Arabidopsis thaliana: one gene and its partners. The protein of the gene in region 1 interacts with the protein of each later gene in a pairwise test. Each region holds a gene or a part of one and is shown in the gene's direction. Other genes may lie near its edges.

Evidence for each region.
Region 2: the proteins of DSPTP1 (region 1) and HPY2 interact in binary tests that used the Arabidopsis thaliana proteins (3 or more experiments, as listed by UniProt).
Region 3: the proteins of DSPTP1 (region 1) and MKK2 interact in binary tests that used the Arabidopsis thaliana proteins (3 or more experiments, as listed by UniProt).
Region 4: the proteins of DSPTP1 (region 1) and CIPK19 interact in binary tests that used the Arabidopsis thaliana proteins (3 or more experiments, as listed by UniProt).

The regions. Positions count from the first base shown.
Region 1 is NC_003074.8:8,475,022-8,482,385, forward strand, and holds DSPTP1 (dual specificity protein phosphatase 1), read left to right. Parts: upstream 1-3,100; 5' UTR 3,101-3,258; coding exon 3,259-3,260; intron 3,261-3,495; coding exon 3,496-3,661; intron 3,662-3,761; coding exon 3,762-3,897; intron 3,898-4,000; coding exon 4,001-4,121; coding exon of another isoform or gene 4,122-4,152; exon of another isoform or gene 4,153-4,232; coding exon 4,233-4,378; coding exon of another isoform or gene 4,379-4,422; exon of another isoform or gene 4,423-4,471; coding exon of another isoform or gene 4,472-4,500; exon of another isoform or gene 4,501-4,514; coding exon 4,515-4,630; 3' UTR 4,631-4,820; downstream 4,821-7,364. Other genes in the region: AT3G23600 (alpha/beta-Hydrolases superfamily protein), read left to right, coding at 1-58, 319-419, 494-634; AT3G23605 (Ubiquitin-like superfamily protein), read left to right, coding at 1,654-2,112; AT3G23620 (Ribosomal RNA processing Brix domain protein), read left to right, coding at 5,126-5,194, 5,383-5,586, 5,893-6,138, 6,252-6,494, 6,577-6,642, 6,736-6,852. UniProt on the Arabidopsis thaliana protein: Has a dual specificity toward Ser/Thr and Tyr-containing proteins. Dephosphorylates MPK4 in vitro.
Region 2 is NC_003074.8:5,099,894-5,107,963, reverse strand, and holds HPY2 (RING/U-box superfamily protein), read left to right. Parts: upstream 1-3,804; 5' UTR 3,805-3,881; coding exon 3,882-3,971; intron 3,972-4,193; coding exon 4,194-4,265; intron 4,266-4,625; coding exon 4,626-4,736; intron 4,737-4,830; coding exon 4,831-4,941; intron 4,942-5,030; coding exon 5,031-5,170; intron 5,171-5,435; coding exon 5,436-5,518; intron 5,519-5,611; coding exon 5,612-5,754; 3' UTR 5,755-6,120; downstream 6,121-8,070. Other genes in the region: AT3G15160 (AP-5 complex subunit zeta-1), read right to left, coding at 1-42, 141-285, 390-517, 583-630, 794-865, 1,086-1,162, 1,262-1,409, 1,579-1,725 and 7 more; AT3G15140 (Polynucleotidyl transferase, ribonuclease H-like superfamily protein), read left to right, coding at 6,247-6,525, 6,822-7,024, 7,292-7,372, 7,627-7,752, 7,850-7,973, 8,052-8,070. UniProt on the Arabidopsis thaliana protein: E3 SUMO-protein ligase that modulates cell cycle progression and functions as a repressor of endocycle onset in meristems. May function downstream of the meristem patterning transcription factors PLETHORA 1 and 2 (PLT1 and PLT2) in root meristem development.
Region 3 is NC_003075.7:14,591,266-14,599,424, reverse strand, and holds MKK2 (MAP kinase kinase 2), read left to right. Parts: upstream 1-4,121; 5' UTR 4,122-4,183; coding exon 4,184-4,260; intron 4,261-4,348; coding exon 4,349-4,460; intron 4,461-4,715; coding exon 4,716-4,850; intron 4,851-4,992; coding exon 4,993-5,217; intron 5,218-5,301; coding exon 5,302-5,484; intron 5,485-5,577; coding exon 5,578-5,801; intron 5,802-5,885; coding exon 5,886-5,931; coding exon of another isoform or gene 5,932-5,946; exon of another isoform or gene 5,947-6,009; coding exon 6,010-6,126; 3' UTR 6,127-6,386; downstream 6,387-8,159. Other genes in the region: VIP3 (Transducin/WD40 repeat-like superfamily protein), read right to left, coding at 268-894, 1,359-1,697; homolog of CFIM-25, read left to right, coding at 2,108-2,292, 2,384-2,429, 2,530-2,623, 2,714-2,787, 2,876-2,962, 3,063-3,173, 3,307-3,378; PLP8 (PATATIN-like protein 8), read left to right, coding at 6,889-8,151.
Region 4 is NC_003076.8:18,582,007-18,589,332, forward strand, and holds CIPK19 (CBL-interacting protein kinase 19), read left to right. Parts: upstream 1-2,669; 5' UTR 2,670-2,935; coding exon 2,936-4,387; 3' UTR 4,388-4,584; downstream 4,585-7,326. Other genes in the region: CIPK20 (CBL-interacting protein kinase 20), read right to left, coding at 5,075-6,394. UniProt on the Arabidopsis thaliana protein: CIPK serine-threonine protein kinases interact with CBL proteins. Binding of a CBL protein to the regulatory NAF domain of CIPK protein lead to the activation of the kinase in a calcium-dependent manner.

The DNA.
Region 1 (7,364 bases):
CTTATTCAAGCAGCTGTGTTGCTTCATCCTTCTTTTGTCAATGTTGATGATATCAAAGGTTAGTGACTTTGCTACTTCCATCTTGATTCCTCACATAGAACCAAGGAACATTAGTTGTCATGCCTTGCCTAATGCGTTGTAACATTTAGAGTCACCTATAGGATTGCGTAACTGATCTCGCCATGATTAGATACTATCATTATTACTGTAAAGAATACTAATTCACATTTGCAAACATAAAAAACACTGTGATTGGTCCGGTTTCTTTACTTTCACCGGTCTTTGATGATCCTTATCAATTTCACGGGTTTATTGCAGGTGGGAAGGCTCCAATTGCTATATTAGGAGCTGAAATTGATCAAATGTCCCCACCAGCACTCTTGAAGCAATTTGAGGAGATTCTATCTTCCAAACCCGAGGTAAGCTGCTTTATCACCGCAACTCAACAGTGTAATTTAATCACCTTTATCTAACTTTAAAACGGATCCTGTAGGTGAATAGTTACGTGAAGATACACCCGAAAGTGTCACACGGATGGACAGTTAGATACAACATCGATGAACCAGAGGCGGTTAAAGCAGCAGAAGAAGCTCACAAGGAGATGCTTGATTGGTTTGTGACCTACATCAAATGATTTGAGAAAGAAAGAAAGGTATTGTCTATTACTTCATATATGCAAAGAATAAAAATTAAAGAGAGACAAAGCAAAACTCTTGGTTGGTGTTTCAATTTCTACTTTCTATAGTCTTTTGAAGCATTCTCTGAGATTCTGTGATACCTTTTGTTAATCATTGTTTTATGATTTTTATATGTTGACGATACGTTACCCTTCTCATCATCTTCTTGTGGTAAGCAAAAAAAGTTACCAAAACAAACTTTGATTGAAATCAATGTCTTCTTCGACTAAAGAAGTAAAAAAGATATTGTACATATATACAGAAATAATCAATTCTTCTTCTTCTTGATGAATTTGATAGTCAAAACGCAAAATTATTGATTGTTGAGACTTGAGACCTTGAGTAATTTTTTTTTTTTTGGGTCAAATGAGAGTAATTTATAAGAGTCAAAATCATTACATGAAAATGATTTAAGAGAGTTTGTCCACACACAAAAACCTAAAAAAAAGAAAACTAGTAATTGACAAAATTATACGATAAATTTATTGTATAAGAAATTGATCCATATATTATTTATATTGTTGCTTAAAAATCGTGCAAAAATGTGGACAGAAAAAAAAAACTTGCCAAAACAAGAAGATATTGCTCAAGAAAGTCACTAGGTTCTTTAGAGAAATCAAATAAAATCTCAATTCATAATCAATGTAGATTTCTCATAATTAAATTTGTATTACAAACTTACAATTATCAAAAACAAAATCTGTAATTACACAAAAAAAAAAAAGGAAAATAGAAACAAAAAAAAATCCGCAGAATATCTCCAAAAATCAATTCTACTAACACAAAAACAATAATACTAATAAATCTATTTTTCTATTTTCAAGGAAAAGGAAACAAACCTTTATAGCTCCTCTCTATCGTCTCGTCTCTATAAATAAACGAGAAGCTCACAAATTCCACAAAAATCCACTCTAACTATGAAACAATTAGGGTTTTGAAATTTACCTAAATCTCTCCGTAATCATCGATCAAAACGATGCTCGAGTGTCAATCAATGATGGAGAAATTATCACCGTTCGTAGACGTCGCCTCTCTGGAAATCGAGTCTCTGCGAAGAATCAAACGCCCGAAACGCTTCTCTGAAGAAGAATCAGAAGAAACCGAGAATACGACGAATTCATCAAACGCGGTATTCGGATTCCCTAACTTACCAGAAGAACCGAATCGCGATATGGATCAAAGCGTTTTGTGCAGAATCTGCGTTCGATTACCAGATGGGAGAAGAATACAGAGAAGTTTCTTAAAGAGTGAATCTGTTCAGCTTCTTTGGTCGTTTTGTTATTCGCAGATTGGTGATGAATCTTCTGAGAGAAAGCGGCGTTTTAAATTGATTCAAGGGTTTCCTGGGGATTATAAGAATCTTTATTTTGGATCTAATACTACTTTTGAACAATCTGGGCTTGCTAATTCCTTGGTTTCTGTTACTTGGCTCTGAAGAATCTTCTTTCGATCTGTAATTAGAAAAATAATTTCTTTCTTCTACCAAGTTTATGTTTACTCAATTTCTCGAATTTGTACTTGGAAATTGCAAATTTCATTTGGTTTTCTTGAATCGTTGTTAGATATTTCCGATCAAATCGTTTTTAGATAACACTGTTTCAAAGTCAATGTCGTCATCATCATACAAGAAGAACGTATAGTTTTTGGTTTATCTTTTTGTTGCTTCTTAAGTCACTCTTTCTCGCATAGTTTTTGAGGTGACGAAGTTACGTATACGGTGACGTAGCAAACCAAGCCCATAAGCCCAAATTCTAAACAAGCCTAAGACAAGTGAGCAAGGAGTGGGTAAACCAAACCATACCAAAATGAAACCGACAAACTCGTCGATATGTGCCAGGACCGGGCTTAGAGGGTGTGCTGAGGGTACATTTGTACATTGTCCATTACTTTTTAGTCAGATTTCTTAAAGCAATTAGGGTCCTATTTCTAAACAAGCCTAAGACAGCATCAAGTGAGCAAGGAAGTACTTCATGTTCATGCACAATTTCTAGGAATGGGAAAGACCGTACCAAAATGGAAACCGAGAAACTCGTCGAGACCGGCTTTGATTAGATAGTCTATCGAAGTAAAATATCGAACTTCGATGGACTATATTGAAGTAGATTTGTGCTCTACTGCCCTCGAAAAAAACATTAAAGTAGATTACTACTACGTCATAATAACAAACAGTCTTTAACAACAACATCATCATCACTCGATACATCTCTGCCTCTGTACAGTTTTGCTGACATATTCACAACACCGTTGCCTCAGTTTCAGCCAAGTACACTACTTCTTACTAATCCAGGGGGCCTAATAGCAGGAAACCAAGCCTACAAAGCACAAATCCCAAACACAAATTTTTGAGTATAATATAAGGACTGAGCTAATAAGTTAAAACATTTCTGATTTTTCTGATAGAAAGGAAATTTTACTATTTGGCCCTCTTTGAACACATCCTTCCCTCTCCTCCTCCTCCTTCCCCCAAAAAACCTGGAGAACCATGCAGTTGCAATTTCCTCTTTAACCCATTTCAAAGATTCGTTTTTTTTTTTTTGTAAATCTCTTTCTCCTTTGGCGAATTCGTATTCCTTCTTTTCCAATGTAAGTTCTTCTTCCTTGATAATCGAATTCTTCTTTTGATCTTAAACCAATCACTACTCCGTCGTTGTAATCGTAATTCTCGATTCACCGTTGTTCGGTTATAAGATCATTCATCAGAATCGGATTCCATTATTTCGGTGACCTGGATTTTGATTTTGATTTTGATTCTTGCTGCTATGATCACGATCTTGATATGTAAACTCTCTTCTTCTTTTTTCTGATTCGATGAAATCAGGAGTTCTAGAGACAGAGGATCACCTTCTTCTTCTTCGTCATCTTCTTCGTTACCAGGAATAGAAAAGTATAATGAAAAGGTGAAGAATCAGATACAAGCTCTTGTTCGTGTTATTAAAGTTGCTCGTACCTATAGAGACGACAATGTCCCTTCCCTTATTGAACAGGTTACTACTACTACTAATACTCATAGGTTTTTTCTACCAACCAAATGACCAATGATTCATTATCAAAGATCAAACCTTTTGTTGAATTTGACTTTTTCAGGGTCTTTATCTTGGATCTGTTGCAGCAGCTAGTAATAAGAATGTTTTGAAATCTTACAATGTTACACATATTTTGACTGTTGCTAGTTCGTTGAGACCAGCTCATCCTGATGACTTTGTTTACAAGGTTGTTCGAGGTATAAACTTATTAAAGGTTTCACTTTGTTATCTAGTTGAAGAGAGAATATGTTTTTGATTTTGGGATGGAATTGCTTGTTTGATTGTTTTTCTATGTGATAGTCGTGGATAAGGAAGATACAAATCTAGAAATGTACTTCGATGAGTGTGTTGATTTCATTGATGAAGCCAAGAGACAAGGCGGTAGTGTTCTTGTTCATTGCTTTGTTGGCAAATCACGGAGGTCAGTTTTGTTTGCTTCCTTCAATATCTAGCGGTTTTCGCCTTGTTTGCTGGATAGTATTCAAAACTAAGTACATATTTAGCCTGGATGGTTTGTCCCTTTTACTTGCAGTGTCACTATAGTTGTTGCTTACCTCATGAAGAAACACGGTATGACTTTAGCTCAAGCATTGCAACATGTTAAAAGCAAAAGACCCGTGGCAAGTCCTAATGCTGGTTTCATCAGACAATTACAAGACCTCGAGAAGTCTATGCAAGGTATGCCTTACTATAATATCTTGAGGTCTAGACTATTAGGTTGAGATCTCTGTGGTGAATCTAAGTTGGAGATACTTTGTCTGTCTGATTCAGTAGTGAGTGACCAGTTTTTTTCCTTTTGAGGATGAAAAGCAAGTGGTTGTGGAGGAGAAGACAGTTCCATGTAAATATCTCTTACATGCATCTTCCTTCTTCTCTATAAAACAGGGAAGCAAGTTACGATTGCACAATGTCAGGCGTGAAGATCATTGATCGTACCATTGGGAGAAACTTGTAAATCTCACACGAAGCATCAATCAAAATGTTTTGTTGTTTCTTCTCCTTAACAACTCGAATAATAACATGGAAACGAATTTGGAATATGTTCATGTTCTCTATTCGTTTTGTATAGTTTCATCATCATGGATATAAAAGTGAACATAAATAAAAATTTGTAAATTTTTTGTACCGCAATGAAATGTCTTTTTTGTGTGTAAAAGTTCATGGGCTGTCATTGTTTAATTTGAGCCCGTATAGTTTAAACAGTTCATGGACCTTGTGAAACATTGGGTTTTATAGTCAATAAAAAACTGTGGGGTGATTTAGGACAGACTTATAAGGTTAGGGGTCATATTAGAATTCTCTTAAAGTTGCTTCCAATTGTGAGGAGGCACTAAAACCCTAGACTCCATATCAATCAATCGAAAAACCTTTCTCTCTTCTTTCGGAGCCGTCGCTTGTGAAACTTTCCGGCGATTTAACAGAGTCATGATGGAAATACGAACTCCGAAGACTGGCAAAGCCAAGCGTGTTCTCGAAAGCCGAGCTCCTAAGTTGGTAAAGTTCTCTTCTTTTTCTCCTTCGTCCTTCTTAAAACCGAGAAGTGAATCATGTTGAGAGCTGTCTTCAATGTTGTTTTGACATCTATGAGACTCATGGGTTTTCTATTTGTCGATAAATTTATCAAAGAATCGATTGAAAGTTGCAAACTTTGTATCTGAATTGGTTGTTTTTGGAATTTGTAGGTTGAAACTGGGAAGAAGACGTTGATACTTCATGGAACAAAGACGAGTGCTACACTTAGCTCTGTAATGACGGAACTCTACCGTTTGAAGAAGGGAGGTGCCATCAGATATTCAAGGAGGAATGAGAATATTAGGCCTTTCGAGAGTGGAGGTGAAACTTCATTAGAGTTCTTCTCTCAGAAAACAGATTGTAGCATTTTTGTGGTAAGTTCATAAGCTTTGGCAGCTGTTGCATCTTGGTTTTATGGTGTTGCAACTTTGATTCTCCTCTTAACTTAGCTATGAACTGCTAGATAGAACAAAATGTTATTAAGATGATCTATCCTGTGATCTAGATTCATTCTAAGGCATCTCTGCTTCTGTCTTGTTAGTCTATGTGTATTTATTTATGGTGGAAATTGGTATGATTGGCTGATGTTATCACAGGCCTTAAGAAGTCATTTGGAAAGGTGTATTGGCAAATTAACTTTGATGCGAGTTCTAACATTGGTGATTGTTTTTATATTGCAGTATGGTTCTCACACGAAGAAACGACCTGACAATCTTGTACTTGGGAGAATGTATGATCACCAAGTCTATGATCTTATAGAAGTTGGGATTGAGAACTTTAAATCCTTGCGGGCGTTTTCGTATGACAAGAAATTCGCACCTCATGAAGGAACAAAGCCTTTCATTTGCTTTATTGGTGAAGGTTTTGAGAATGTATCAGAGCTTAAGCATCTCAAAGAAGTCCTCACTGATCTTTTTCGTGGCGAGGTGAAGTGTTTGATTCTTATGACCTACTTTTGCAGCTAATTCCATAACCAGTTTCAATTTTATTCTGATTCTATATGGATTTGGCTTATAACAGAATTTGTATATGTCTGCAGGTTGTGGATAATCTAAATCTTACTGGTTTAGACCGCGCTTACGTATGTTCAGCTATATCCCCAACAAAGGTTTTCCTTACTCATTGCGCATTGAAGCTTAAAAAGTCAGGATCCATTGTTCCGAGAATGGAGCTTGTTGAAGTCGGTCCATCCATGGACTTGGTTATCAGGCGTAATCGTCTTCCTAACGATAGCTTAATGAAAGAAGCAATGAGAACATCCAAGGATAAGCCTAAGAAGAAGGTACTAAACAACATAAAAGTCTAATATTTCTCTTAAAATCGAAAGAGACAGATGACTAATCAATCAATCTCTTCTTCTACAGGAGAAAAACGTTGATCAAGATGCAGTACTAGGGAAGACTGGGAAGATTTATATGCCTGATCAGAAGGTAAGAAAGAAAGCGATAAACGCCAATATCCGAATCTGGAGATTATTATTTTTATTATCATCCCAAACTGATATGTTTTCGATCTTTGTGCAGCTGAAAGAAATGAAACTGTTCGATAAATCTAAGGGATCGAAGAGAGAGCGGAAAGACGCTAAGCTTAAGCATAAGGAAGAGACTGTTGCCAAAAAGATGAAGGTGTCTTCTGAGTGACTCAACAGACCACTCTTGGCTCTGCATCAACAGCTTTCAATATGTGGAAGATGAAATGATTTTGTAGTGTAATGAGCTTGACTTTTATTTTTCCATTAGAATCTATAACTGAATGTTTTCTATACGCTAATATTTTATTAAGGTGATTTTGTTTTGTTAAAACTCTGCAGCAACAGAAACTGGATATGATAAAAACACATTTTTGTCTATCTCTGTTTCCTACTGCAGTACATGCGTAAGACAGCAACTTTTTTCCCGTGTTGAATGAGACCACAATTTTTGCCTGTATCACTGTCTTACCAACAACTTTTTTACCTCTTTTAACTACCATCTCTTAGTGATATCTTACTTATGAAAATGAAGCTGACCATGATGATTATTTCGTGTATTTTTTTACCTACCAACTTTTAAATGATAATGACTGATACATGTTGAGTTTACAAACCTAATTATTAAGCTTTTATACAGTTAGCTGTCTTAATCTTTCAACACTAGGCTTATACCTTATCTAT
Region 2 (8,070 bases), 3.4 Mb from region 1:
TCGTCTCCAAACCCTTGCATCAGATATCCGAGACTTTACTACCTACACATGTACATAATTGTGGAACTCAGATTCCAGATGTTTAGTAATCAACTAATCATTGGTAAGTGCATTAATAGATTCAATTATTTCCTGTGTACCTTTCCCAAGGCGACGCGGGCTCTTGGTAATAATTCTCGGTGATATGTTGCGAGCTTTGCGATAGCTGTCACTACAAAACACAGAAGTCTTGACTGTGTTGTTCTTCTTGAACCATTCCCAGATTCTTGCCTCAAACCTAGGCGGCTTTTTTGGTCGTTGGAAACAAATAGGGAAAACATTGTAATTACCATTTATGTTTTCTGTCCAAGAAAGCAGATTGATGATACACAAACAAAAGTTTGTAATACCTTGATGAGAGATTCTCATATACAAGCAACTCTAAACTTTCAAAAAGCTCTCGAGCAGCTTCCTTGTGAGATTCTCCCCCACCACCATACTCTCCAATTGCCCAACATAGCTGTAAGGCTAACTCTCTCTACGGAAGAAAATGCTTAGAGGAGATTATCTTACAAAGCATCCGTCTAAATATTAGAAACTGACCTTTGCAACATCATCGTAAGCTTCCCCAAGTCGGTCAATAATAGGCTTCTGTATTATTTAAGAAGTTGAGAATGCATATCTTGCAAATTACTCGAGAAAATAAGCGGTAATCATAAGACTATGTATCTAATAATGCACTGTGAAATCTTCTTATCTAAATTCTAAAGCTATTACTCGCACAAAAAAATAAAATAAAATAGGCAGACATTACTTTCAACAGGGCAATGAAATTTGGAGACCTCTGAAATGCAGCTAGTACAAATTCCAGTAGCCTCCTACGGATCTGTGTACGCAAACAATATCTCTGTAAGATAACGTCCAATATGGCAGTGATACAGGTCTATACACTAAAACGTCAAAATAGCATTGGCATTTCTGAAGAAATATTAATGGACGCTACACTCATATCTAGAGGAGAGAAATCAATAAACATTGTCAATTAGCCTGTTCTAATGATTTTCTAAGGAAAGTCTTCAGAAAAACAATACAGAAGATGCGTGTACCTCATGAGAAAAAATCTTATCCGGAAACATTGTAGAGTTTCTTGTCATGAGTAGAGGGATTAAAGCACAGATCAGAGCTGCAAAAGATAAAGTTGTCAACGGCCTAACTAAGTTGGAAATTGACTTATATTCCTTTAGCAACTAAAACAAACTAGGAAGGCTGTAAATTATCTTACAGTCATTTGCATCTCGCAATGTAACACTAAAGTAGACATCAAGAAGTCGGGGAGCAATCTTAAGAGTCTGCTTCATCCTCTCTGACCGAGGACCACTTGCAGCAGCCTGCAGCGCTGCATTCAATGTAGGAGAAGCGCGGTGTCTTTCCTGCAGCACAAATTTGACAAAATACTTTCAGTTTGTCTAATATATCAGACAGTTTAAAAAACTACCAACTTTCACATAGGCCCTAAATTTTTACTAATAGACAATTATTATATAAAACTGTTTCTGTTGAGTTTTTGGAATAAAGCAAAGCCAGAGGAAGGATGCATACCGCTAGACCATCATTTTCGTCCTTCAGAAGCTCCAGAAACAGAGGATCAGCTACATCTATTGTATTGTTATCTTCAGATTCAGAGTCATCCCCTCCATCCCCGATGGTTGAACCAGTATATGCTTCATCCATAAGGGCAAGAAGCATCTGCATTCACAGGTATCCTTGTCATTCATTGACTATCTAAGAACTGTCATATGGTTTATGTTTTTATGAGATATAAGACCTCCGGAGCTGCACTCTTCTGAATTGAAGCAATGCTACCTCCAACCCTTGACCCCGACCCCGAGCTCCTTTCCACCTTTTCTAATGCCACGACCAATACTAGCAAAAATATTAACAAGAAGATACATAATTAGTACACAGTACACTCGTAAACTCAATCAGGCTGAGAGAATAAAGTCCAAGCATCAATGGAGAAATACCAAACAAGCTCAAAACAATGGAAACCAGTCAGCTTACAAATACATCTTAGTACAGTTGGAGTCATCCAAGTGGTCTCCAAATTAGAGTACAAACAAATATATGAAGTCGAGTAGCATTTTTTAGACAAGCGGACTCACTTGGCAAGTCTACAATGGATGGAAACAGAGGAAGAAATGACCCAGGTGATATCAGTCCTGGAAATATCTTCAGGAAGGACTTCTCCAACCTGAAATTAGAACAAAGAAAATTTATTTCCTTGAGATAATTGTTCAAATCACTTGTGCATATTTTCAGCTTACTTCTCCCAATTCCAGGCAATGAGCTTAAGCAACAACGGGAAAAACTGCAAATACAATTTCTTGAATTAGATAGAGATATAATATATCTGTTATGGCTTAATTGTTCAAGCGGTGGAAATGTAAATGGACACAAATTAAGAAAGATGAAAGCAGAAGGAACAGCTAGATTGCATAAAGCTATAAGGACAGAAAGATACAGTTCTATTACATATGTTGATGCACACAGTAATAACACAATAAATAGAGGCACTTTACTAATTAAGAGAGTAATCTTCTTGAGACTGAAAGCTAAAAGAAAGTTTAAGGATTTATATGGCTAGTCATTCCAGTTAATACCTGAGGGAGTAAGTTTGGGAAAGATGCTAAGAGCTTTCTTTGGTTCACAACAAGGAATTCACAAGTTGCCTCTGCCACAGCGGCATCTGAGAACTCACTACAAAGAAAATCATGATCATATCAGCAAAATTTATCTACATAAACGCATAGTAGCACACATCTCAGAGCACAGAGCCACAACAAGACCCAGTCAAGACATAAAAGGTAGTCCATACCGGCTAAGACATGAGCGGAAGAATGTCCTCAAACTTGGGTCAGAATCGTGCAGAACCATATCCCCAAAATCAAGAAAAAACTGAAGAATGGCCTAAACACACAAACACAGAATCCTTAATACACACTAGAACCCAAAACGTAAAAAAACAAACTTTCATCTGAAATTCTTCAGGGAGAATAATGTACTAGCAAGAGAAGGCCTTTGGACGCCCCTGACTCGGACTGAGATAGTGAAGCAACCGAACGATGGAAGACTTTATTGAATTGTGGATAAATTCTAGCCACAAGATCATCTGATTTCTCCATTTTACAGAACCCATGCAGCTTCTTCACCTAATCCATATACATTCAAACAAAACGAAAGCAATGTATCACTTAATACCAGTCTCAAGCCAATTCTCAATAAATGGACAAAAGATGCGTACTGATTGTAGTATAGATGGATCAGAAGCAGGATCCGTAGAATCCCGCGCGCTGTTGCTTAGGATTCTGAGGTAAAAATCCCAGTCTCCTTCTTGATCACTCATGTTCTCAATCAAAAAGAAGATCACTAGAAAAAATTCATATGATATGATGATGGATGAAGAAGTTTCAGCTTCGGCGACTCCAGAGTCCCGGAGAAAGAGGATTGGAAAGAAGACGACGTCGTTTATTCAAAGATCTATATCCTTAAACTACATGCCATCTCTTCTTGTCCACATGTCGTTTATAGTAGCATAAGACGGCACACAGTTTATCAAGCAAACCCCCTAGACGGGCTATGGATTGGCTGCGGCCTTTTTATAGCTTGTTGCAGCGATACGACATCGTTTGGCCAGTACGACTTCGTTCGGCCGGTACGACTTGTCTTCTTCACGTTTTCTAATAGGATTAATTAACTACGTGTCGCTTATAGTAGCATAAGACGGCACGCATTTTATTCAGCAAACCTCCGTATATCGCAGGCTCTCTCACTCTTTCCGTCTTCTGATTTCTCCCTCCAAAACAAACCTCGGAAGAGAAAATTGGAGCGAAGGAGCGATAGATATGGCGTCGGCGTCCTCGTCTGACGGAGTTGCCGGAAGGATTCAGAACGCTTCTTTGGTTCTTGTCTCCGATAACAGTTCCACGCTTGCTGTGAGTATTTTCGTTCAAACCAAATTCACTCTTTTTTTTTTTTGATGTAAATATAGGTTTCTGAGAAGTTCCTGAAATCTTTCCTCCGAGATGTTAACAGATAGGAGCTTCGGCTTATAATGGGTTTGACTAGTTAGAAGTGAACAAGGGATTTCTAATTTGGGCAAAATTTATAGCCTAGAATCTGCTTTATCTCGTATCTGTTTTTACTTTTATTTGCAGGATATCCGCAAAGCTGTGGCAATGATGAAGAACATTGCAGTTCAATTGGAGAAAGAAAATCAAACGGACAAGGTTGGTTATTATTTTGTCTGATATGAGAGGAAGCGTTTTCAGGGATAAACGCACTTGTAGCCGTTTTACATTTTTTTTTTTTGCTACAATGTAGAGTAGTTTCATTCATCTCCTTGAGTTTTTGTATTGGCTAATCATAAGTGACCTTATCTTAAACTTGTGGGAACTGCCTAGACTTTCTTCTAATGTGATTGATTCTTGGTTAATTGCATTGCTGTAAAACTTGTTATCACGTATCTCTTTCATTCTGACATTGTATTATTGTCTGCTCTTGCCAACACTCTTTCCTTGATGTCTGTCTTTGTTTTTCTTAAATGCTCTTTATATATGCTCTTCATTTTTATATTTTGGGTTCCACAGGTTAAGGACCTTGAAAATTCTGTGGCTGAGTTATTGGATTTGCATAGTGATTGTAATCACCGTTCGACAGCAATTCAATCCGTTGCAAATCGGTACCAACCCGTGGAACAAGTACTCACTTTCCCTCTTTCATGTGTTATCTAATTTCTTATTCGGTTGCATACTTTTAGATGTAGCAAATTGATTTTTACTCTAATGACTGCAGTTAACGGACTTTAAAAAGTTGCTTGATGATGAATTCACAAAGCTCAAGGCTACACCTTCCTCAGTGCCACAAAATGATCATTTGATGCGCCAGTTCAGGGAAGCAGTTTGGGTATGTTTTTAACTTAAAGTTCTTGGCTTGTATCTAATAGGTCTATAGTCCGATTTCCTTTTTAAGTTATTGTCAATGTTTTGCTGCAGAATGTTCATCATGCAGGTGAACCAATGCCTGGTGACGATGATGAGGACATTGTTATGACCAGTACTCAGTGCCCTCTTCTAAACATGACATGTCCCTTGAGCGGGAAGCCTGTCACTGAATTAGCAGATCCAGTTCGCAGGTACAATGGATGTTTCTTGTCTTTTTTCCCTTAACTTGGATGTCTTGTTTTGTTCGGACGATTTGCTTGTCCTCTCCCATGCCTGATGTCTATGTAGGATGATCCTCAAAAGCCATATTCAGTCGATACTGACTTCTTTCTATACATGACCATAAAGCTTGAATATGATTTCATCTTTCGTGTAGCAGTAGAACTAATCAAATAATAATATACAATTGTGCGGTGAACTGATACCATGTCTCTCTGATCCTTTTTATGGTTGCAGTATGGATTGCAGGCACGTCTATGAAAAATCTGTAATCCTGCATTACATAGTCAACAATCCAAATGCGAATTGTCCTGTAGCAGGTAAAATAGTTCTTGCTCAAAAACATCTTTAGACACCATTACTTTGTTCTTTCATGCTGATTTGTCATTTGTATGACCTCTTGAAATCCTCAGGGTGCCGAGGTAAACTGCAGAATAGCAAAGTGATTTGTGATGCAATGTTGAAGTTTGAAATAGAGGAGATGCGCTCGTTGAACAAACAATCTAATAGGGCTGAAGTGATTGAAGACTTCACAGAAGATGTGGATGAAGATTAGAGATCAGACATTTCTTGGACCGGGTTTTAAGCGCTGCAATGAAACAAGTTGAAGCCATATGTTTCACAACTTTTTGCTATTCTTAGTCCGTTCGGTATATTTTATCAAACGTGAAATTTGATACCAATTGTTTCCACTTTATGGAGGATGTAAATAGTCGATCTCTTCCGATTCTGAATTCAACTGCTGTTTTTTTTGCCAAGTTTACGTTCATTTCCTGAGGCTAGTCAAAGCTTAATTTCATTTCTTGTAGTCAGAATTTTCGATTTAGTACCATTATTAGGTCTACTCGGTTTATTAGTTTTTCATGGTATGGTTTGGCATTGGTTAAGAGTTTGTGTGGATATAAATCCAGTTTGGTTTTCAAATTCAATTTTTGGTTCGATTTGAATTGGTTACTAAAACAAACTAAAGGCTTTTAGCTTCCCAGTTCCCAGTCCCTGTACTCGAAAGGAAGATCTTCATCTTCAATCTTCATGCTAATCGACGAAAATGGCGTCCGCATTCTCTGCATTTAGGGTTTCGTTGTCCAGAATCAGTCCTTTCCGTGATACCCGGTTCTCTTATCCCGCCACGTTGGCTTTAGCTCATACCAAACGAATCATGTGCAACTCTTCGCATTCTGTATCTCCATCTCCTTCTCCCTCTGACTTTTCTTCTTCTTCTTCTTCTTCTTCTTCTTCTCCTTCTACTTTTTCGTTAATGGAAACAAGTGAAAATGCAAGGTGGAGACCCATGTGCTTGTATTACACCCACGGAAAGTGTACAAAGGTAAACACTTTGCTACTCGTCGTTCTTTTTAAATTTAGTTTTTGCTACAGCGGAATGCGGAATTAAATTCCATTTCTTTATTGATTGGTTCCTGCTCCGTATGCTTGTTCGAAAACAAGTGATGCGAAATTTGAATCAACTATGCAATGTCTGCGACCTGTTCGATGGAATGTCTGAACGAGATTGGAACTTGTTTATTGTTTGTGTCTCGATCGTTACATTGTTATTCTTTACTAGTTTTTTATACCTAAATAATCGTGAATGATGGGTAATAAAGTTTATGTTGATGATATCAGATGGATGATCCTGCCCATTTGGAGATTTTTAACCACGATTGTTCAAAGGAACTTCGAGTGGCTGCTGCTGATCTTGAGAGAAAGAAGTCACAAGAATTCAATTTTTTCTTGGTTATTGACTTGGAAGGAAAAGTTGAGATTCTTGAGTTTCCTATTTTGATCGTAGATGCCAAAACCATGGAAGTCGTAGACTTATTCCACAGGTCATAACAGCTTCCTATCTTTAATGGCATTACTTTTCTTAACAATCGTAAGGTCTTTGGCTGTTTGGATGGTTGATTTTGTGTCATTGGAGTAAGAACTGTTAGTGAGTTGTTTAGACATAAGAAGACCTCAGAAATTTATTTTCTTTCAGAATGTTATTGGTCATAGCTAGATACCACAATGTTAATTATTGCTTGTTCTCTAATAATTTTACTCCTCAATTTTACAATGTGGTTGATTATTTGTTCTCTATACTTCTTCATAAGGTTTGTAAGACCCACCAAAATGAGCGAGCAAGCAATTAACAAATACATCGAAGGCAAGTATGGGGAACTCGGGGTTGATCGGTATGCTACTACTATCTTACTTCTAGGTGTAGATATATTTATATGGCTACAATGCTTGTTATGTTTTCTGTCTAGTTGCACTAGTCAATCCTTAATGCATGCGTTACCAAATGCTATAATTGACTACTCTGCTAAGTATGATAATCCTAAGAATTGGTTTAGAGTCCACACTCCACAGACTTCTCCCAACACCTCTTTTGGTTCTCTTTGGATTCTGAGACTGTCGCACTAACTTTTAAAAAATCGAATTGTAGTGTGTGGCATGACACAGCTATTCCATTTAAGCAAGTTGTTGAGGAGTTTGAAGTTTGGTTAGCTGAGCATGACTTGTGGGATAAAGATACAGATTGGGGTCTGAACGATGCAGCTTTTGTAACCTGGTGAGAATTAATGATAAGAGATGGGGCTGCTTATGTAAATCTTTGAGTTTCTCATTACTGATTTCCTTTGGGATACTGATTATGTTAATGTTATCAGTGGAAACTGGGATATAAAGACAAAGATTCCTGAGCAATGCGTAGTTTCAAACATCAATCTTCCGCCATATTTTATGGAGTGGATCAATCTCAAAGACGTCTACTTGAATTTCTATGGCCGTGAGGTAAATTGGAGATATCACTATGCATCATCATCTTATTGTATGTTATTGTAAACTCATTAATAGTAGATGACATGACAGGCAAGAGGAATGGTGTCAA
Region 3 (8,159 bases), on another chromosome or scaffold:
CCATAATCTTTAGCTGTTTTGTTTTTTGAAAACTTTTAGACGTTTGTTTGCGTTACTCTTCAACTCATCTCTCTGTGATCTTTATCTGTTTCTCAGTTTTCCAATAAAGTTCTATCGCAAAGTTTGAATCATTTTATCTTCTTTGTTTTTTGTGTAAGCGATAAATCTAAAGACTCCGGTCAAAATCAACCTGTTGCAGATTATATTGTTACAACTAGATGCGTCTTGGAGAATGCATAAAAGAAAAAAGTCAAAAAACCGAATTGTTCATGAGTAATCATAGAGCGATACACTCTTGTCATCAGAGACACTAGCAAGTCGACCAGCCCGGACACCGGTTCCACCTGGTGGTCTAAAGGCCACAGACCAAACCTGGTCATTGTGGTTGCTCATTGTCTGAATCGCAGCTCTCATTTTAAGATCCCATAGCCTCACAGTTCTATCGCTTGAGCCGGTTGCTATGGCTCCACCGTCTGGGCTAGCATCAACGCTCAGCACCCAACTCGTGTGCCCTGACATGGACCCCAACAGCGTTTTCCCTTCTGCATCGTGCATGTTCACATGCCCATCATCTGATCCAGAGAAGAGGACTCTCGGGTCTACAGGGGAGAACACAAGGGACCTTACAGGCATATTGTGACCTTCTAGCTGGTGAAGTAGCTTTGAGCGGTCAACATCAAAAACACAGATCGTACCATCCATTGAACCACAAGCAAGTCGTTTCCCATTAGGAGACCAAGCCACCGAGAGAACGAATTTCTTGCTGCTGGTTTTATCGGAAGGTTTTGGTGCATCTGGGCGTGGGATTGATAGAGTTGAGATTAATCTCCAGCTTGCAGTGTCCCAAAGCTTGACTGAGGCACTACTTCCACCTGCAACAGCAAGGATCGTACCCTTGGAACATGTAAAATACTATGTTAGCAGAGCACCATTCTAAAGAGTAATGTTGAAATTATAAGCTCAGAAGCAAATAAAAACTCCACTGCAAACTAAAAGAGAGATCATTGCACTGATACTTGATAGTCACCAGGTCAAAATTCTATCATACCAAATCAAGATTTATCATCAAAGCACCAATAAATTGTTCTTAATCTACTATATAAGACTCAATGAAAAATCAGAAGATGATCTAGATCTATTTTCCGAGCAGAGTAGATGACCCTATCTGATCAGAGCTACAGATTCAAACGATACTCAGCAATTCCATATAGTACCCAAGCATTGTTATATAGATCAGGAGAAGCATTACTCGCAACTAAGAAGTGAAATTCAATGAAGCAATCGAATTCTTTCACCACAAAACAACCCAAAATCCTTCAAAACCCTAAAATTGGAGGCAATCTCATTGAGTCAATTACCTTAGGTTCAAATTGCATTCCCCAAACCTCAGAAGGAGGAGCTTCCAAAACAGCAATCGTAGCATTAGTATCAACATCAAACACACGGACAAAGCTATCAATCGAAGAAGATGCTGCAATAATCCCAGAAGGATGCGCAGCCAAAGCTGCTACTCCCAAAGAGTGTCCAGTATTAGTCCGCACAAGATCCAGCTCGTCCGGTCGCCATAACTTCACCGTCTCGTCAAGAGATCCAGTCAGAAGCAACGCCGGTCGATCTTCCGTCGCCGGAACCCACGTCGCTGCCCAAACGGAATCTTCGTGAGCGTTCTCGATCGATTTCAGACCTGCGAGTTTCATTCTCTTTTTAGGTTTTTACTGTGTTTCCTCAAGTGAGCAAGAAGAAGCAAAAGACCCAAATTTGAAACAGAGACTTTGATTCTCGTTTTTTAGTTATAAAATAGAAACTCGCGTCGTTTTTAGTAGTTGGAAACAATAGAGTGTTTAACATCGTTCCGTATTCTTGTTTACTACTAAAGGCCCATTAATATCGTAACAGGCCCATTAATATCTTCTTCCTCACTCTCCCGCCGTCGTCAGCTAATTGCGGAGAAGTACTCTCTGGAGCCGCCACGTCTCAGTGATCCGACTACGACACCTTTCTTCACTCTTCTTCTTGCGTCTTCTCTGCTCTCGTGGTCTCTCTGTTATTTAATTTTAATCGATTGAGATCGCTTTTAGCTCTCGTCTTTGAATTTTACGGGCAGAAAATGGGTGAAGAAGCTCGAGCGTTAGATATGGAGGAGATCAGTGACAACACGACGAGACGAAACGATGTCGTTCATGACTTGATGGTTGATTTATACCCGCTTAGCAGCTACTACTTCGGTTCAAAAGAAGCTCTTCGCGTCAAGGACGAGATTATCTCTGATCGAGTCATCAGATTGAAATCCAAGTAAATCGAGTTTTGATGTGATTTAGATCATCTGGTTTTTTTCTTATTGTTTTAATCTATAGCTAAAGTTTCTTTTTTGTTTCTTTTGAAGTTATGCTGCTCATGGATTGAGAACTTGCGTTGAAGCTGTTCTTCTGGTAATTTTATAGTTGGTAGCCAAATTAGGGATTTTGAAAAGTTTTACAGGGAAAATTGGTTTGAAAGGATTGATTAAAATCTAATGTTGGGACACATCAGGTTGAGTTGTTCAAGCATCCTCATGTTTTGCTTCTTCAATATAGAAACTCCATTTTCAAGCTTCCTGGTGGTCGTTTGAGACCTGGAGAATCAGGTTTAGTATGCTGTTTCCTTGCATCTTTATGCATAAATATCGCTGTCTCAATTCTAAACGCTAAAGTCATGTTTCTCCTTAATCTTCTAGATATTGAAGGTCTAAAACGGAAACTAGCATCAAAGCTATCGGTTAACGAAAATGTGGGTGTTTCGGGTTATGAGGTAGGAACTATGGCTTCTTGTTAAAGTGCTTTTGTATCTGATTGTTTCTGGCTTAAGAATGGTCTCTCTAATTACAACATTGTTGTAGGTAGGAGAATGTATTGGGATGTGGTGGAGACCCAACTTTGAGACATTGATGTATCCTTTCTTGCCACCTAATATTAAACACCCAAAGGTTGGTTAGTTAGTTTCACTTTCATTGTAAGAAAAAGTTGAGACTTTTGAAGATTTGCGCTTATACTAAAAGCTCTGCTCTATCCTCATCTTTTGTGTAGGAATGCACAAAGCTTTTTCTTGTGAGATTACCGGTACATCAACAGTTTGTTGTGCCTAAGAACTTCAAACTCCTCGCTGTTCCATTGTGTCAACTCCATGAAAATGAAAAGGTATGTACTATCTTACTTGCATTGCCCTTAACTCATCGTGAACTTTTAATCGATGTTCCTGGTAAAACTAACAGGGTCAGTCAATCAAGCTGTATTTAATTATGTGTTGTGATGTTTCATTTATGCGTTGCAGACTTATGGGCCGATCATGTCGCAAATTCCTAAGCTTCTTTCGAAATTCTCCTTCAACATGATGGAGATATGAACGAACCTCATGATCATTGCCTCTAGTAGCTCTTGCCCCCCGCAATTTGTGATAGGATTATGTTTGGGGAAATCGTTTGTGGAGCCTCTCTGAGTCTGTGACTATATAATGTATATAGGGCTTATAATATATAGACAATGTTGAAGAATAGCATGTTCTTGTTGGTTATAGAGACTAGACATGAAGTATACTGATAGATAGATTAATCAATTCGAAACAATTTTTCTTTGTGTGATAATTTCGATGTGTAATTGAATGTATACATGAGTAAAACAAATATAGGGGTGTATGCTTATTTGTATATTCCTTGTTGAAGAAAACCTTGTTATCTTCAAACATGAAACCGAGAAACATAAGTAAAGATTTTACTGTTTGTTATATGTGTTTATTGTATTTGATCAAACAATATTTGAAATATTGAAAACTTTCTATAAATATCAAACGTTAGTTTGGCATTCTGCGTTAGCGTTTTGTTGTAGTGGTGATTTTGGGAGTGTTTAAAAACCAAAAGCTAAAGAACGAAGAATCACTGAATTAACCGGTTTGTTTCCGGTTAAAATGTGGATTAAAACTTTTCGGTCAAAGAAAACCGGGAAAAAGAAGTAGTAAATGGGAAAGTCTCTAAGTCGTTGGTCAACGTCGTGAACATGTGCTTGACTAATATTAATTAATGGCTGTTTTATTTCCAAATTCCAATTTCTGGCTGAAAAGTACATGAATTATGCTTAAAACTGTGTTTTACTTAATATATAATGACGAGGAAACAACAAAAAGGAAGAAGCGAAGAACGAAGTAGACGAAGACGATGAAGAAAGGTGGATTCAGCAATAATCTCAAGCTCGCAATTCCTGTTGCTGGCGAGCAATCCATCACCAAATTCCTGTATGTTTCTCGATCTCTCTTTCTCCATGGATCTGTGGATAGATAGATGTATTTGTGTGTGGAAATGTCTCTGGTTTTGTTTTTGAAGGAGGAAAGGTTTTGGTTCTCTCTGTAGGACTCAAAGCGGTACGTTTAAGGATGGAGATCTACGTGTTAACAAGGATGGAGTTCGAATCATTTCTCAATTGGAGCCTGAAGTCGTAAGTCTTTCCTCTTCCTCGTTCGGTGCTGATTTTACTGAATTTCGCGAGTGTTAGGTTTGATTGTTTATTTGTACTGCATATGAAGATTTTGTTGAGTTTGAATGCATTAACTGTAATGTGGTTGGTGGATCTGATCATAATTAGAACCTTCTTAAGATCATTTCTGTAGTTCTGGATAGAGAAACTCAGGGATTAAGCTCATATCTTCTAGATTACTGTTTGTAATCTGTTTCGTTTGCGACTGTGTTTCAGCTGTCTCCAATTAAGCCAGCTGATGATCAGCTGAGCTTGTCGGATTTGGATATGGTTAAAGTCATTGGCAAAGGAAGTAGTGGTGTTGTTCAGCTGGTTCAACACAAATGGACTGGCCAATTTTTCGCCTTGAAGGTACTCATTGGTTAACCTTCAGATTCTTTTATGTATATGATGAGCTAAATTCCTCATCTTTTCTCTGTGTTTGAAGATTTACAAATCTTTTTCTTCCTTGCCTTGTCACTCACTGTGCATAACTCTGATGCTATATGATTAGGTCATTCAACTAAATATTGATGAAGCAATTCGCAAGGCAATTGCACAAGAGCTCAAAATAAATCAATCGTCACAGTGTCCAAATCTTGTTACCTCGTACCAGTCATTTTATGACAATGGCGCAATCTCACTAATCTTGGAGTACATGGACGGAGGATCTCTAGCAGACTTTCTCAAGTCAGTTAAAGCCATCCCTGACTCCTATCTTTCTGCCATCTTTAGACAAGTAAGAAACACAGGATACACAGGAAACTATACGCTTCACTGTTAATTGGTTGATTGATGTGATTTATTGGTTCTGTTATTGCAGGTGCTTCAAGGATTAATCTATCTTCATCACGATAGGCATATCATCCATCGTGACTTGAAACCATCCAATCTGTTGATCAACCACAGAGGAGAAGTCAAAATAACTGACTTTGGTGTGAGTACCGTTATGACAAACACCGCAGGTTTAGCAAACACATTTGTGGGGACTTACAATTATATGTCTGTAAGTATCTTATTTGTCTCTTGAGCATTGACTAGTTTGAAACCCCTTTCGAGTGTTATAAAAATTGAGAATCTTAATTTTTCCTTTTTACAGCCAGAGAGAATCGTTGGAAACAAGTACGGAAATAAAAGTGATATATGGAGCTTGGGTTTAGTAGTACTCGAATGTGCAACAGGAAAGTTCCCTTATGCACCTCCGAATCAAGAGGAAACATGGACCAGTGTTTTCGAGTTGATGGAAGCCATTGTTGACCAACCGCCACCCGCTCTTCCTTCAGGAAATTTCTCCCCTGAGTTATCTTCATTCATCTCCACATGGTAATCTCTCAAAAAATTCCTGCTCCCTCTTTTACTGAGATTACTTTACTAAGTTAACATATTCCACTCTACACTCTCATCCAGTTTGCAGAAGGATCCAAACAGTCGAAGCTCTGCAAAGGAACTGATGGTTTGTTTTATATAATCCCTTTTGCATGTTTTTCATCCATTGAAATGTTGAATCATACTCTGTGTCAAACAATTTCAGGAACATCCTTTCTTGAACAAATACGACTACTCGGGGATCAATCTCGCGTCCTACTTCACAGATGCAGGATCGCCACTTGCAACACTTGGGAACCTGTCTGGTACGTTCTCCGTGTAAACTACAAGGGAGACATAATATCACCATCTGGTTCCTGTTATCATCTGAAGATTTCTTGTTTTACCTTCCAGTGATAAAATGATCTTTATAATACATATAGATATATTAAATTGCTGTATTTTAAGATTATAGATATATAAGGTACATGAGAGTGTTTATTTAAAAAAATTCACTTGGAATTCATGTTTTGTGATACGTTAGATTGGAATCCATTTGGGAAAAGAAGAATCATCTGTTCTTATGTCTCAAATTTTGACTTCATTCACTTTTCTTCTTGTCTTTTAAGAAAGCTTCCACAATCTAACTGTTCGATGTGAAAACTGAGATTCGAGTAAGAAAATGTGAACTGTGTTATACTGTTTTTTAATTAGATAATTTAGATTGCACTCAGATAAATTAATAACATTCCTCGAATACTTTTATGTGATTGGATATATTAGGTATATCTGCCAACCAACCAATAAACTGCTATGTTTAAACAAATTAAATAAATTAGTATATGTTTACTCAAGAATAAAGAAGATAGAAAAGAAAATTCTATATGAGCTAAATTTGCTGGAGGAGGCATCGGACGTGGGTACCAGACCTTTCCAAGCACACGAGTAGTGCTTAGCCATGTCATGCTAACATACACCATTTGGTTCATACAAAATCCAAATCAAAATCTATTTTTAAAATCTTTTGCACACGTCTTTGAAAAACACCTCTCATACTATAGCTACGGAAGCTTCAATTTCAAGGTTTGTCTAAAAGCTAACGATTATGAATCGGCGCTACGAAAAGCCACCGCCATTGTCAGTTTCCTCCAAAGGGAAGAAGAAGCATTTTGTCAATCACACAGCTCCCAACACTCCTGGAAATTACGAGAGGACTCAAACCAGTCCAACGTTATCAACGGCTCGATCACACGAACCCGATGATAAGCTCAATTACGAGATCTTCTCAATTCTCGAAAGCAAATTTCTCTTTGGTTACGAAGACCCAAGGCTACTATGGATTCCTCAGAGTCCATTACGACCCGGTGATTCCGAAGCAGGTCCTTCTCCCAGATCACCGTTGACTCCAAACGGCGTCGTTCTCCCGGGAACACCGTCTTCATCTTTCAGAAGTCCGAGAGGAAGAATCTGCGTTTTGAGCATTGACGGTGGCGGTATGAGAGGTCTTTTGGCGGGAAAATCCCTAATCTATTTAGAGCAAATGCTGAAAGAGAAATCCGGCGATCCAAACGCTCGAATCGCCGATTACTTCGACGTCGCTGCCGGATCAGGTGTCGGTGGAGTATTCGCTGCGATGATATTTGCGACAAGAGACGGCAACCGCCCGATTTTCAAGGCGGAGGACACTTGGAAATTTCTCGTAGAGAACGCAGAAGGATTCTACAGATCAGGGAGCGGAAGTGGAGGAGGAGGAGCAGGAGCGGCGATTAAACGGGTCATAAGATCTGGATCCGGATCCGGATCATCTTCAGTAACCGCCGCAACGGCGAAGCTAGAAAAAGCAATGAAAGCATCATTCGCCGATCTAACGCTTAAAGACACACTCAAACCAATTCTCATCTCTTGCTACGATCTCTCAAGCACGGCTCCGTTTCTATTCTCACGCGCCGACGCGTTAGAAAGCGACAGTTTCGATTTTCGTCTCCGAGATATTTGCCGTGCCACATGGGCGGAGCCGGGGACGTTTGATCCGGTTCGCACGTGTTCCGTCGACGGGAAAACGCGGTGCGTTGCGGTGGGGGGTGGATTAGCGATGAGTAATCCGACGGCGGCGGCGATAACGCACGTGTTTCATAACAAACAGGAGTTCCCGGCGGTGAAAGGAGTGGAGGATTTGTTGGTGTTGTCGCTTGGGACTGGTCAGCTTTTTGAAGTGAATTATGATTATGAACAGGTTAAGAATTGGCGCGTTAAGGAATGGGCTCGGCCCATGGCGAGAATCTCTGGTGATGGGTCTGCTGAGTTTGTTGATCAAGCTGTTGCTATGGGCTTTGGGCCTTACCGAAGTAGTAATTACGTTCGCATTCAGGTTTTTTT
Region 4 (7,326 bases), on another chromosome or scaffold:
AAGTTAAGTTATTAAATAAGAACTAGCAAGTCATTTTCTCATCTTTTACATATTGCAACAATGTGTTTGTGAAAACGCAAAATGATTGATGTACGTATACTTCGGCCATTTTTTCTTGTCGTGATGGCAGGATTTAAATTCTCCAAAATTCAATTCACTTATATATAAACGGTTTTATTTCTGATCCATCCAATTTTTGTTTTCCATTAGTAAAGCATTGAATTTCCTAAAAACTTTCACAATTAGAACATCATGGTGTAAATATTTAAGTCTAACAACACGTAATTATTGTGAAAGTAATGTGCTGCAAATGGGTTGTATTAAATAAGCTTGGAAATGGAAGAACAAAATGGTTTTACTGTATATTAAAAATACCTTGTCATAACAACTAATTTAAAATGAAGAAAATTATGATCTTGGGAAATTCCAAACAAATCCACTAAATCCCAAGACAAAAAGATCCATAGAATGCCAACTAATATTCCACAAAGTATCTAACACATTCACATTCTCCTTGAGCAACCCAACCTAAAAGTTAATCCACATTCTTTATTTTATCATTTTAACCACTCACACCAACATTGTTGGTCCATGTGCTTGCTTATATGTGTGTGCGATCTCTTTGTTCTATTTTAATGTTATTGGGTTATTCTTATGTTACTGCTGGATCTTTGACATGATGATCATTTGTATCAGCGTTGCCTCTATGTGATAATCAAAATTTAAACTAATTGTATATGTATGTGAATTGTGGGCAACGTAAAAGAAATTTATGCAATTTCCGTACTACCTAACTTGATGTTGGGAGATCGATGAGAGCGACTCAAACTGAATCATTCTCATTAATCTTCCAACACTTGATTATTATCCTCAATATAAACAATCACGTTAAGAAATTGCAAACTGTTTTCTTTTAAGAAAATTAGAAAGACGGTTTTTAAGGAGGAACTAGATTGTCAGTATTTTATTTTTTTATTTTGGCTAACAAAATAATACTTCTTTATTTATAATTAAACCATTGACTGAACTGACCGGACTATATAAGTTATGTTTTACAATGGCGCAACTATAATTTGATATGTTGTATCAACTTGTAAAATCAATCAAGTTTTGAATCCGGAGTCATCTGATTAAGGTAAAGATGTACATTTTAAGTTTTAATAGAGCAAAAATCTCAATTTTGCAATAGATAAATTGTTATAGATAAAAACAATTTTTAGGCCGAAATTCATTCATTTTGGACTTTCAGGCCAATTATAGAGTTAAATTCCAGTCCATTTTGCTGGTCCATGATTAGGTATGGACCTAAATCTCTCTTTTTTTGGCAAGCCCAGTCTAAAAAGAGAAAATACAATCCAGCCCAATTGACTAAATCTCTCTGTTTACATGACCTATTTTTGGTGACAAATTTTAACAATCTGTTTGGAGAAACAGTTCACATGGATAATTTTGTCAACAAAGAAGAAAGAATTGAGTAAATTGCTCTACTTCACACCTGTCAAAAGAGGTTAATTCACCAACTACATGTGTGACCTGATACGTGCACGTTATTATCAATATGTACGTCTAAAAAACCTTAAGAGTTTGAATATTCGTATTTCGTAACACTCTCAATATTCAAATATTATCAAAAATAAAATAAAATATTATCAATAAGATTTGTTAGTTGGGTTGGGTAATCTATCAAATACACTAATACAGCAAATCATTTCAATTTCACGACAAGTGGAAACTTTTCATTATGTCACTTTGCTTAAATCTTCACCGACCATTATGTCACTTTGCTTATATGTAAACCTTTGACTTACAATTTGGTTTTCTAATTAAAAAAACAATTAATGAAAAACTGTAATTTGACCTGACTAGTAAGTTAGTAACTCAAGACAAATAAACACCAAAAAGGAATGAAAATAAAATTTATGTATATTATTTTATTAATTTTATGATTTCATGCAAAACAGATTGTGAATGATTTGTAATCATATTTCGAAAACGTCAAAATGTGAAGAAATTACATACAATATTGTTGAGTTTTCTAATTAGGTGATACTTCAATTTTGGAATTAGTCATGTGCTAGAATTAAGTACGTGTCTACTAATCTACTAATATATCAGTTATGTGGTGTAAACTTTTAAAGCTCTATACTTTCTTAATATGTAGTATATTATCGAAGGATCAATGTTGACATTACGATGATAATGACATTTACGATTGTAATTGAATATTCTATAATGCCAAGATGTGATCATTTTCGTTTCTTACTCTTTCATAAAATTCTTTTGGTGTTTTAGGGACCTTTCAAAGAGACTGCGTTTCTAGGTCTTAGATTCGAATCTTGATGCTTGGAAATGATTAGTTCTTGATCTCAGTGATTACGAGTCCAAGACTCAAAACACTTTGGTTTAAACTTTTTTTTTTTTTTTTTTTTTACTTATATTCCATTTCCATTGTTTCTATATCTATGGAAATGAAAAATAATTCATTGATCTTTTCTATCTAAATAAAAAAATTCTCCTTCGGTTTCAAATTATTTTTTATTGTTTGTATTAGAAACAATCAATTTTTCTAACATAGTATTAGTTTTTTAAGCATTTAAAGCAAAAAAAAAAAAAACAGTTGACCAATAGGCTATATATATGTGTTGGTGGTATACAAAAAGTGAGATTTATTTGTATACCAATTCTGAAACATTTCCAAATATACCACAAGAAAAATCCTATTTCTGGAAAAAGCCCTAAAAACAGAACAGAGGAAGACGAGAAAAACAGAGAAAGAGAGAGAGAGAGAGAGAGATCGTCTTCTTCTACAACCTCTCAATAATCAAACAAAAAAACGTGTTTTTTTTTTTTTTGCGAATTCGATCTTCGATCAAGAAGATCTTGATCTCAAAATCCAAACTTTTCTTCACCATTTCATGAGAATCTCTCGCTTTCAATGGCGGATTTGTTAAGAAAAGTGAAATCGATAAAGAAGAAGCAGGATCAGAGCAATCATCAAGCTCTGATCCTTGGCAAATACGAAATGGGTAGGCTTCTTGGCCACGGAACCTTCGCTAAAGTCTATCTCGCACGAAACGCTCAATCTGGAGAAAGCGTAGCGATCAAGGTAATTGACAAAGAGAAAGTTCTCAAATCCGGTTTAATCGCACACATCAAACGCGAGATCTCGATCTTGCGCCGTGTTCGTCATCCTAACATCGTTCAGCTATTCGAAGTCATGGCGACGAAATCTAAGATCTATTTCGTAATGGAATATGTTAAAGGAGGTGAATTGTTCAACAAGGTAGCTAAAGGAAGGTTAAAAGAAGAAATGGCACGTAAATATTTTCAACAGTTGATCTCAGCCGTATCGTTTTGTCACTTCCGTGGTGTTTATCATCGAGATTTGAAACCGGAGAATCTTCTTTTAGACGAAAATGGAAACCTAAAAGTCTCTGATTTTGGTCTTAGTGCTGTTTCTGATCAGATTCGACAAGATGGGTTATTTCATACTTTTTGTGGGACCCCTGCTTACGTGGCACCGGAGGTTCTTGCTCGGAAAGGCTACGATGGAGCTAAAGTCGATATTTGGTCTTGTGGAGTGATCTTGTTTGTGTTAATGGCAGGGTTTCTTCCTTTTCATGATCGGAATGTTATGGCTATGTATAAGAAGATTTACAGAGGAGATTTTAGGTGTCCGAGATGGTTTCCGGTTGAGATTAACCGGTTATTGATTCGAATGTTGGAGACTAAACCGGAGAGACGGTTTACAATGCCGGATATTATGGAGACTAGTTGGTTCAAGAAAGGTTTTAAGCATATTAAGTTTTATGTTGAAGATGATCATCAGCTTTGTAACGTTGCTGATGATGATGAGATCGAATCGATTGAATCGGTTTCGGGGAGGTCTTCTACGGTTTCTGAACCGGAAGACTTCGAGTCTTTTGATGGGAGGAGAAGAGGTGGTTCGATGCCTAGACCGGCAAGTTTGAATGCTTTCGATCTCATTTCGTTTTCGCCAGGTTTTGATCTTTCGGGTTTGTTTGAGGATGATGGTGAAGGATCTAGGTTTGTGTCTGGTGCTCCTGTTGGTCAGATCATTTCTAAGTTGGAGGAAATCGCGAGGATTGTGAGTTTTACTGTGCGAAAGAAGGATTGTAAAGTGAGTCTTGAAGGTTCAAGAGAAGGAAGTATGAAAGGTCCATTGTCAATTGCTGCTGAGATATTTGAACTGACACCAGCTTTGGTTGTTGTTGAAGTGAAGAAGAAAGGAGGTGATAAAATGGAGTATGATGAGTTTTGTAATAAGGAGTTGAAACCTAAGTTGCAGAATTTGTCTTCCGAAAATGGCCAACGGGTTTCTGGTTCGCGTTCTTTGCCATCGTTTTTACTTTCTGATACTGATTAGGAAGATGAAAAATGAAGTTTTTGTTTCTGTTTTATTAGTTTTGTGACTCATATGTGGGGTTAACGACTTGTAATGTTCTTGTTCTTTGATGGTGTGTGAGAGACATTAGAATTTAGACCTAAAGAGAGTGGTGAGATATGAATCATTGATGTGTAGAAAACACAGATGGAATAAACAAGTTTCTTTATGAGTTTGCTTCTTTTTTTTCTTTCTTTTTCCTTCTTTTGAATTTTAATTCTGTTAGTTTGAAATATGACAGAAATTCACTTAGAACAAGATTGTGTAATTTCTGTTGGAAATTTTGTCTACTAACGTCAATTAATATGACGGTTTATGATATATAATTGAACATGTAGAGTTTACAAAAACAAAATCTTGAGAAGAAAGTTTAGCATTATAATCCAAGCCACACCATTAGCTAATCCAAATTTGTGTTGTTCTTTTAAATATGTTATATTCTAGTCATGCACCTTTAACCATAAACAATTTATTAATCCATTTATTTCTGTCACTTTTCTTTACTTCAAATCTTTGTGTAACTATTGACCCCAATTAATTAAATAAATAAATCAACAACAATCTAAGATATGTGATGATGATTGCAGCCATTATCATAAATCTCATCTTTTACACGGAGATCTAAAGAAAAACAACCAAATCCAGAAAAATATAAGATGAAAAACACATTTAATGTATCACTTCAATCTTCTCATTGTTGCTATTGTTGTTGTTTCCTTGCCATTTCCAAACAATATCTTTCAAAGAAGGCCTAAGCTCACGATCACAAAATTGCTTATACTCCATTGTATCACCTCCACTTTTCTTAAACTCAACCATATGAAAACTATTTGTCACTTCAAATATCTCAACATCAATCGCAAGATGTCCTTTTCTTCCTTCTCTCTTATCTTCCATCTTCACTCCTACATCGCTCTTCGTCAAATTGAATCTCTCACTACTTGTTGCTATCTCCTCGAATTTCGACACTATCTCTTTTGCATCTTTCTTCGTTGTAAACTTCGATTCTGATCTCTCTTCTTTCTCAAACAAACCCGAGAGATCGAATCCTTGAGACAGCGAAGAGATCAAGTCAAACGCGTTGTAAGACATCGGTTTTACGGAAAAAGCTGCGTGGACATCGCTGATCAGTGAGTCGATCTGATGACTTTCGGGAGATTTAGGCGTTTCGATCTTCTTGAAACCCTTTTGAAACCAGGAATTCTCCATGATTTTTTCAATCTTGATTCTTGAATTAGGGTTAGGGTCAAGAATCCGAGACAACAACTTCTTGACCTCGGGAGGAAACCAATTCGGACATTTGAATTCGCCTTTCGTGATTTTCCGATACATTTCCACAAGATTTTGCTCGTGAAACGGAAGAAATCCAGCCAATAGCACGTACAACACAACCCCGCAAGACCAAACATCGGCTTTAGCTCCATCATAACCTTTCTTGCCTATCACTTCAGGTGCCACGTAAGCAGGTGTTCCACATGTCGTGTGAAGCAAGCCATCTTGCTGCTTCGACTCCCTCAACGCGCTAAGGCCAAAATCCGATATTTTCAAATCGCCGTTTTCGTCTAGAAGAAGATTCTCCGGTTTGAGATCGCGGTGGTAAACTCCGCGGCTATGGCAATAATCGATTGCTCCGATCAATTGCTGGAAATATTTTCGAGCAATGTTTTCTTTAAGCTTTCCTTTAGAGACTTTATCAAAAAGCTCACCGCCTTTAACGTATTCCATAGCGAAATAGATCTTTGTCTTGCTCGCCATTACTTCATGGAGGAAGACGACGTGGGGGTGACGAACGAGACGCATCACTGATATTTCTCGTTTGATTTGATCGATTAATCCGACTTTCGCAACTTTCTGTTTGTCGATCACCTTGATCGCTACGCTTTCTCCTGTTTTTATGTTGCGTGCGTGGTACACTTTTGCGAATGTGCCTTGACCTAGAAGACGACCTAATTCATATTTTCGCATCAAAACTATGCCGTTTTTATCCATTTATTGACGCTTTTGAGGGAACAAAGGAACTTGATGAAAAAGCAGAGGATGAACTATTGATTAACTTCGTCTTGGAATGTGTTTCCCATGGCTTAGAAGAGATGGAGCTCAAATTTTGAAAATATCAATTATATTTTTTCTTCTTTTTTTTTGGGGTCTAAACCTTGCATATATCAAAATAGTAATGCTAAAAACAAATACAAGAGGAAAAGATCTTAGATTTGTGTGGTCGTGGTGATGCTTCGAGTGGGCTCTTCTAAATATAGTGGAGGCTAGTTGTTGTTAAATATTAGAATATCCCAGATTTTTGTGTGTGTATATAATAGATTTTGTAATTACAAATATATGTGGACTTCAATGCCGGTCCTGTCTGTAAATCTTAAGAATCATGATTCAAAATAAGAGTTGTCGCATAAAATGTCATGATACGAAAATAAGTGGAGGATAAATCTTGGAGTTGCAAATACAGATATGGATATGATTGTTAACATCGGCCAATTTTTACTCGGCCCGACCCACTACAAACCCAGGGAGGCAATCACTGAGGAATAAATAAATATGAAACATAGAAAAGTTGATCATGTTCATGGGGGCATCTAGAATTGTGTCATCTAGGTAGATTGCAATATATTTTTACAGTTATAAGAAGTGTTTTTGTAGGTTTTAGAGTGTTATTTTCATTTGAATGATTAGATTTGATCTCTTGCTATCTGTAGAAAAACTAGTATTCTTGGCGATTAAGATATTTTAAGTTATCAAATCGCATTGAAGAGACTCAAATCAATTTATAGAATGAATCATGTAAACATTATTCCACCATGAAGTGGTTACTTAGGTTTAATGTTATTTTAAAGTTAAAGAGCTTACTAATCGCGATCCAAACTTTAACCCTATAGTACATTTCACCACTATGAATACTTGAAATGTTGTGG